Rhinolophus ferrumequinum: one gene and its partner. Each later gene encodes a partner of the first gene's protein in a complex. Links are inferred from orthologs where the notes say so. Each region holds a gene or a part of one and is shown in the gene's direction. Other genes may lie near its edges. The genes, in order: cytochrome b-245 heavy chain and RAC2.

Region 1 (3,918 bases):
CTTCTGTTCCTCCAATTTCTTCTTTTACCTCTCTAGGGAATAACCCTTGTGCAATTAGTCAACTTTGATCTCATAGTGGGGTTGCCATCCTGCTCTCCTGTCCCTTTCATGTCCTGACGACTGACTAGTAGTCAGGGAAAAAAATGCTAAATCTGGCTTTTGGCATCTACCACACCTGACCTACCTTTGTTCTGACCCTGTTTCTGACCTTTGTTCCTAGCCTAGAGAATGCCATGTCTGCCTGGGAATGCTATAGTCATCCCAACATTTTAGTATATTGTTATATTTTTATTTCCTATACATATGGAGCCTTTGGAGTGATTTTGGATGGGGTGGGCACACTCAGGCTTTTTTGTTTCTGGTATCATGGTTAAAAGTATAGCCAAACTGCTTGGGTTTCAAATCCCAGCTCCACTATTTCCTAACTGCGTGACCTTGGCCAAGTACCTTAACTGCTCTGGGTCTCAGTTTCCTCATCTGTAAATGTAGTCATAATAATAGAACCTATGTTATACAGGTTGAATTGTTAGAATCAAATGAATTACATATACTGAATTTGTATATGTGTGTGTCATTGTGTGTACACACACGCATATATTTATCAACTCATATGCACATATATTTGTGTGTGCATATATATGTATACGTGTGTATGTACATACATACATACGTAGCTTAGAAAATTAGCACAACATAGACATTCTATAAATATTAACCATCACCATTGTTATTATTTTTCTCAACAAGGCTGAAAAAGCTGCTCTAGCCTATCAAAAAATATCACACCTACTTAATGTTTTTCACCCAGCATAAAGTCTTGTCTAGTTGGGTGACTTTTAAAAAATTTCTAGTTGATAAGTTAATTCACTTTATATTAATGTAATAAAATATGCTAATAAAAAAGACTGAGAACACATTTAAAAAGAAAGGATAACCACAACTTCAAGAAAACTTTAATTCACTGTGTAAAATACATCCCATGAATTACACTGTTACTTGTCACTCAGTTGTAAAAATTAGTTTCATTCATTTTTCACTATGTTCGGTTGTGATTGGATCATTACAGACCCTTTCTCTGTAGTTTGTGGTTTAAAGATTGAAATTTTTTATGAATATAAGCTTTTCAGTTGACCAATGATTAGAAATTTCCTGATAGTAGAAAAGGAAACAGATTGCCCCAAGGCGCTATTTTCATTTCCTCATGGGAGGAAGAAGCATAGCAGAGAAGAAAGGCAGACACAAGACACTGTACCTCTGCCACCATGGGGAACTGGGCTGTGAATGAGGGACTCTCCATCTTTGTCATTGTAAGTACCAATGAGAGATACATTATGAATCCTCTGACTTGTCTGGGTTCTTTTGGGAACTAAAATAGAAAAAAACTTTTTTGTTTGTTTGTTTTGTTTATTTGACAAATTGTGTTGAAACTGATTTACTGTGTGAACATGCATGCATTTGTAAGCAGACTGAGTCCATTCTTTCAAAGTTAGTATTGGAAAGAATGTAACTGGGGGCTCACTTCACCTAGTTTATTTTTTGAGTTTTTAGGAGTACTAAATTAGCCAGCATTTCACAGAGGGAGTAGAAGACATTTCATGATAATGATTCCTGAGTCTGAGTTGTTTATTAATATTTGCTCTGAGACAAATTTCTACTTTTTGTGTGTTTATACCACTTTAAAAATGGGCAATCAAAATTTTATGCCATTTTCCAAGGAATAAGTACAAGACTGGTTCATGTGCGGGAAATTGGCCTTTATTTCAGTAATTACACCAAAAATAATTGAACTTCTCAACTGTGGTTTTTTTTTTTTAAGTATCTTCTTTTCTCTGAGGTAATTTGAGTTATTTGTAAAGTTTATAAAAAAATCAAGGGAAGGGAATTGAAATTAGATATCTAGACTCATATACAGTATATATATTATATGTGATTATATATATAAATCAATATAATATATCTTGAGAAATAATTTTTGTAAGTAAAGATATGGCTAATTTTCAAATAAACACATTAGTTTATTTAGTTTTTAACATAACAAATATCAACTATTATTTTATGATGGTGGTCTCAGCAAAGCAATCATGGATAATTGGGAAGATAGAAATGTGATTTATAACTATCCTTTTCAAATATCCAATGAAAGCATTATACAGAGGTTAAACAGAACTCTTATAAAAGGAACTTTTGAAAGAATTAATCATGAAGTAAATATTCAGTCTTTGAGTTTTCGAGATACAGAGAAATTAGTGGCACAAACATAATTAAAGCAACAAATATTTTGTCATGTAAAAAAATTATGCCAAAGCAACATTTAAATGCAATATAGAATTCTTCTGAGGAGTCAGAACTATTAACTTGATTTCTTATCACCATTTGAAGAACAGATAACTCCTGTAGAAAACAAGTTCAAATTATACTTTTAGATCCTACCACAATTTTCCCCAGGAAATGACCTTCTAATTACATACTCATATATTCAATTCAAAATGAAGGCACCACTTGAAAAGCAAGAGTAAAAAAGACAAGATTAGGAAACAGACAAGTTGTTTTAGTGCCTTCTTTTTAAAGAGAGACTGTTCTCAAGTGTCTATGGACATTTAGTGCTTCAACACATAGTTAAGAAAAAAGATCACTATGGAGCTGAACGTAGAGGACTGGGCAGTATCATCGATTGATGCAGTCAGTGCTTCAGATGAAACAAGCAATTAAAAAAAATCCTATGACTTTCACCCCCTCATTCATGCTCAATATCCCCTCCTTCAAAAGTTAAGCAAAAGTTATCAAATACAATTAAAGGCTTGACTGTTTAGCTGATGAGACCCCCACTAGCTGGGTGGGATGCTGTGTGTGTGGTGGAGGAAGTTTATCGGCACCTGTGAGAGTAGAACACAGTGTCCTACTGGAGCAAGGGACAACATAGCAACGTGTTCCATTCCCTTGTCTTTTTAGAAAGAGTCACCTACTATCGTCTCTCTATCTAAGGTTAGAAAGAAAAGAGGAGGAGAAAGAAAGGAGGGAAATTAGACTGATAATAACTCAGCATACTGACCAACTGGTAAAACAATAATGGGGAACAACATGGGGTGGAAAGGTTAATAACAAGGAAATATAACAATGCTGCCTGGGAAAGAGCTGGCTCTAAAATGGTTATAACCAGTTTTGTAAGCACCCGTATCAAAGGCTGGAGTTGGGAAACTCCTGACCCTGGTCTGACACCAACATTGTGTGAAATGTACCTGTTTAAATGTGAAAACTTCATGCAACTGTTTCTCTTTGTGCAGCTGGTATGGCTGGGGTTGAACGTCTTCCTCTTTGTCTGGTACTACAAGGTTTATGATGATCCACCGAAATTCTTTTACACTCGAAAACTTCTTGGGGTAAGTATAAGTTCCATGTCATGCAATATTGACTAGCTCACATTTTTTAATCAAAAATTCACGTTCATATTCCTTTTAACATTTTCAATAAATATTCTGACCAACCTGAACAGCACCATCAGCCTCACTCCCTCCATTACAACCCCTTGGGGAGGAGTCTTTAGGCTTTCCAGTGTGGGACAAACAAAAGTGTGGCAGAGGGTCACAGCAACATCCCTCTCTTCCCAAAAACCACTGGAGAAACGTTTAGCTTAGAGGAGGCATCTAATAATAGCTCTGGAATGGAAGACTAGGTTGAAGAGATCCATCCAGGGGTAACACAGGTGGGACAAGTGGGACTTTCCATATTCTGTAAATCATCTGATTCCTACCACTTTTGTGCATGGAGAGCCCCGCTCCTAGTGACATGTTATGAAATGATCTTCAGGAAATTCCAGTTTCATTGAACTGCCAGGTCTCTTCTTCTTCATTACAGATGAAAATAATTTCATCTGTCCCTTGAAGATATTGTTTACTACCTCATGCTGAAACCGTGAATTCA
Region 2 (3,918 bases), on another chromosome or scaffold:
TCATACTGGGTTTTATATTAATTTTTGCTCCAAAAGATGCATTAGAACTGATTGTCTGGCTAGGTGTTATTTTGGGGGAAACACGGTAACTGACTGACCAAGTGTGGGAGCGGCTGCATTTCCCTTTCTGCAAAAGCCATGTGTGCCAACCCTGTAGCTTGTGTGGACAGTTCTGGAAGGGTTCAGCCTCTGGGTGCCTGGGGGAATCCTAGGCTCTGTCCTCACAGGGAGTAGGAGGGAAGCTGTCGCCCAGCAGAACCCCCGCCTCCGTCAGCTCCACACTCTCCCCCAGTTTCCTGGTTTGTCCTGAGTGAGTCCAGGCTGGATGACCAGTGGCTCTGCCTATCTTGTGCCTGGAGCGGGAAGGTGCTTTGTGTGGGGAGCTGTGGCAATAAATATTATAGTAAGGACTAAGTGAACTTGGAGTCCATTGGGGAGTCCCAGTACTACTCAGATCTGAGTCTTCCATGGCTTAGGGGGAGCACTCCATCCAAGAGCTGCAGGACTCAGCCATTGTTCCCCCAGACAGCAGCTGGGGCGCCAGGAGAGTTTGGAGTCACCTGACTTCTCAGACCCTCTGTTTCTGCATCTTCAATATGGGCCATGGTTCCGAGTTCCAGAGTGCCTGGTCCCACAGGACTGTCCCTCCAGCCCAGGGCCTGGCTGGCGTGGGGCACTGCCCGTCACTTCCCTTCTATTTCCCCTTCTCCATCAGCTGAGCCTCGTCTTCCTTCCTTCCTCATCTCCCTCCTCCCATATCTGTCATCCTTCCACCCTCAGGGGTTCCCACTCTACCCCGTTTGGAGGAATGTCTATATCGTGCTCGCGCAGTCCGCTCACCTGGAGTGCGCCCGCTCTGACACATTTAAGTGCCGGCTTGAGTGCCACCGTACAGGCCCCAGCTCTCCCTCTACGTAACTCTAGGTCTCCTCCCTGCAGATTCCCTGTGACTCCATCACTTTCTGTCTTGTTTTATGGACAACTGTGATGAGGTCGTATCTTCCCCAGGGACAAGCTATTCCTCTTGCATCCTGGACTCCCCAGTACCTGCTACTGTGGCTGGCACACAGTAGATGCTTACTAAATGCTTATTGCTTAGAATTGAGGTGAACTGAATTCTTGGAAACCTCAAGTTCTTGGAGAACAACTCTGGCCCTGCCCATGGAAGCGAGTCCACAGCTGAGAGGGTCCCTAGGTCACCAGCTGGTGCCCCATAGCAGGGATGCTCACTGGGGCTGCCAGGACCCAGCCTAGTACCTGAGGCCCCCCCCCCACCCCCCTGCTGGTCTGCCAGACCGCATGCTCCGCCTTCTGCAAACGGCTGTGAGGGCAGCAGTTTAGGCAAGTTCCGCTTCCGCTTCCTCCTGCCTCCTGTCCCCTGCTGCTGGGCTCTGGGTCCCTCACCAGGCTCTCCACACCCCTGGTACCCGCAGAAACGCTCCACACCCTGAGCTGTCACCGCCGCCGCTCCCCAGGCCCCAGACACGATGCAGGCCATCAAGTGTGTGGTGGTGGGAGATGGGTAGGTACCTGGCTGAACTTGCTCACAGCCCCCTACCAGGAGCCCTGGCGTCCCTGGGGAAGCCCCCTGCCCCGCAGGAGTCCCTGGGAGGCAGCCAGGAGGAACCGCCCCTTCTCCCAGGAAGCAGAGGGAGCCCCCGGGTGGGCTGAGGACAGCTTCACTCTCTCTGCCCACCTCACCCTGGAAACTTCCTGGGTGGAGGGTACAGGACGGTGGGTGGCGATGCCTGGGGTCCCTCACCGGCACTCTGAGAGCTGGGGCAGGTCTCCCATAGGACCTCAGTCTTCAACTCTGTGGATGCAGGTGGGGGGTAGGGAGCCAAAAATCTGCCCTTCGTCCCCAGGCTGACCTGGACTCTAGTCACTGGCTTATTCTGCTGTGTGGCCTTGGGCAAGTCACAGCACATCTCTGAACCTCAGCTTGGCCATCTGGGAAAAGGCGCACGTCCTCAGGGTTGATGTGGGGTCACTTCAGGCGTTTTGAGTGGCTGTCCTGCACATAGTGTGAGCTCAATAAATGTCCGCGTCCTCTCCCCTCCCCCTCACAGCTGCCTGGTTGGGGAGGATGTGTGGGGGTGTGAGCGAGGAGCAGAAGTAGAGAAGAGGAGAGAGAGAGAGGGAAGGAGGAGGGACGGAGAGATGAGGGTGGCTGTGGGGGTCAACATGGGACCGGCTGGGCTGAGACACCTTCTCAGCTGTCAGATTTAGTGACCTCAGGTTACCCTGTCACCCTGGAGGCCTCAGTTTCCTCATCTGTGAGATAACTGGTCTAAATGCCAATCTCTCGTGCCTCCCAGGAACAATACCTCAGGGTCCAGCCCACGGGTCTGTCCTGGGATTTTCCATAGGCACAACCCAGGACATCCCAGCATGTTCTAGCTGGGCAGGCCTCTTGTCCACCTTTCCTGTTCTATAGATGGGTAGCCTGAGGCCTCAAGAGACTCAGATCTTTCCTGGCCTGGGTCCCTGTGGCCCCTGCTTACTTTGGCTCTCATGGGTCGGTGGGGGTGGGCCGGCTGATCAGGCCGCTCTCAGCTGATTCTGATGCATGGCTGGCTGTTATCTGCCTGCCTGCCCACTTCTGCTTTGTATCTGATCTGAGTTGGGGAGGGCGGAAGCCAAGAACAACGTTCTAGTCATTCAAAGTTACCTTGGTGGCAGGCCCTGGGGAGGGCAGGGTGGGGATGAGAGGCAGGCCAACTCCTCAGAACGGGAAATGACGAAACAGTGGAGCAAGCGGGGAGGGCCACGGCTGCCCCTTTGGCCTCCACCTGGGCCCCGTCCCAGCCCAGCAGGCTGAGGGGAAGACAGCACGAACAGCAGGTGATCACAATTTATTTAACACTTAATATGTGTCAGGCAATGGGCTTAGTCATCCTCTCTATTTTATCCTCCTACCAATTAATACTAGGACCATTTTACAGGTGGGAAAACTGAAGCTCGAAGCAGTTAAGTAATTTACCCAAGACCTTATGGGCTTTGAACCCTGGTCTCTCGGACTCCAGAGCTCCAAGCTCTTAACTGAGATGCTCTCTGGTGAGGCAGGATGGTAGAGGAGGGACAGGCTTTCCCTGACATCGGCTGGCGGCTATGCTGTGCCCAGTTCTTTTATGGACTTCATCTAATTTACTTCTCAGTACACCTCTCTGGGGATGGACTCACCTTATACCTATCTTCTAGATGGGGAAATTGAGGCAAAGGGAAGTTACCTGATTTGCTCCAAATCGTGTCACTGGCAGGTGGATCTGGTGTCTGAAGCCTAGGCCTATGGTGGCAGAGCCCCGCTCAGGCACCAGGGGCCCTGCAGCATTGGCCAACCCAGTAGGTCTCCTGGGTACCGACTGCCCTTTACCCTCTGTCCCACATCAGTGGCACCTGGGAAAGTTCTTTCAAAATGGATTTCCAGTTCGCCCCACACCCATGGATCAGCATCTCTGGGGTAGAACCTTAAGCCTGCCCTTTAACAAGCACTCCAAATGACTCTATGGCCCTCAGGTTTGAAAACGCTGACCTGGGGATCTTCAGATGGGGAAACTGAGGCCAAAGGGGTGGGCCTGGGTCTTCCCTGAGGGCTGGGTTAGAGAATGGGGCACGTGCTCTGAAACCTCCCCGCATCTCGGCCAGGGCCTGTGACAGCTGTCCTTCGGAATGTCTTGTCTTTCAGAGCCGTGGGCAAGACCTGCCTGCTCATCAGCTACACCACCAACGCCTTCCCGGGAGAGTACATCCCCACTGTGTGAGTACCGTGGGCAGGTGGGGTGCTCGGAGGATGGGGAGACATGCATCATCAAGCCCACCCCCTTTTCAGGCACTTCCTGTGTGCCAGGCTGTGTGTGGGCACGTGGGGATCGGGCAACGAGGAGATGCCCCCGCCGGTCTGCCTGGCAGAGCTGCCTG

Evidence for each region.
Region 2: cytochrome b-245 heavy chain (region 1) and RAC2 share a complex: the UniProt entries of both Homo sapiens proteins name them as parts of the phagocyte NADPH oxidase complex. The link is inferred for Rhinolophus ferrumequinum from reciprocal best matches to the Homo sapiens genes CYBB and RAC2.

What each region holds. Positions count from the first base shown.
Region 1 is NC_046284.1:95,746,915-95,750,832, reverse strand, and holds the start of cytochrome b-245 heavy chain, read left to right. Parts: upstream 1-1,161; 5' UTR 1,162-1,262; coding exon 1,263-1,307; intron 1,308-3,281; coding exon 3,282-3,377; intron 3,378-3,918. UniProt on the Homo sapiens protein: Catalytic subunit of the phagocyte NADPH oxidase complex that mediates the transfer of electrons from cytosolic NADPH to O2 to produce the superoxide anion (O2(-)).
Region 2 is NC_046293.1:9,575,077-9,578,994, forward strand, and holds the start of RAC2 (ras-related C3 botulinum toxin substrate 2), read left to right. Parts: upstream 1-1,351; 5' UTR 1,352-1,487; coding exon 1,488-1,522; intron 1,523-3,685; coding exon 3,686-3,757; intron 3,758-3,918. UniProt on the Homo sapiens protein: Plasma membrane-associated small GTPase which cycles between an active GTP-bound and inactive GDP-bound state.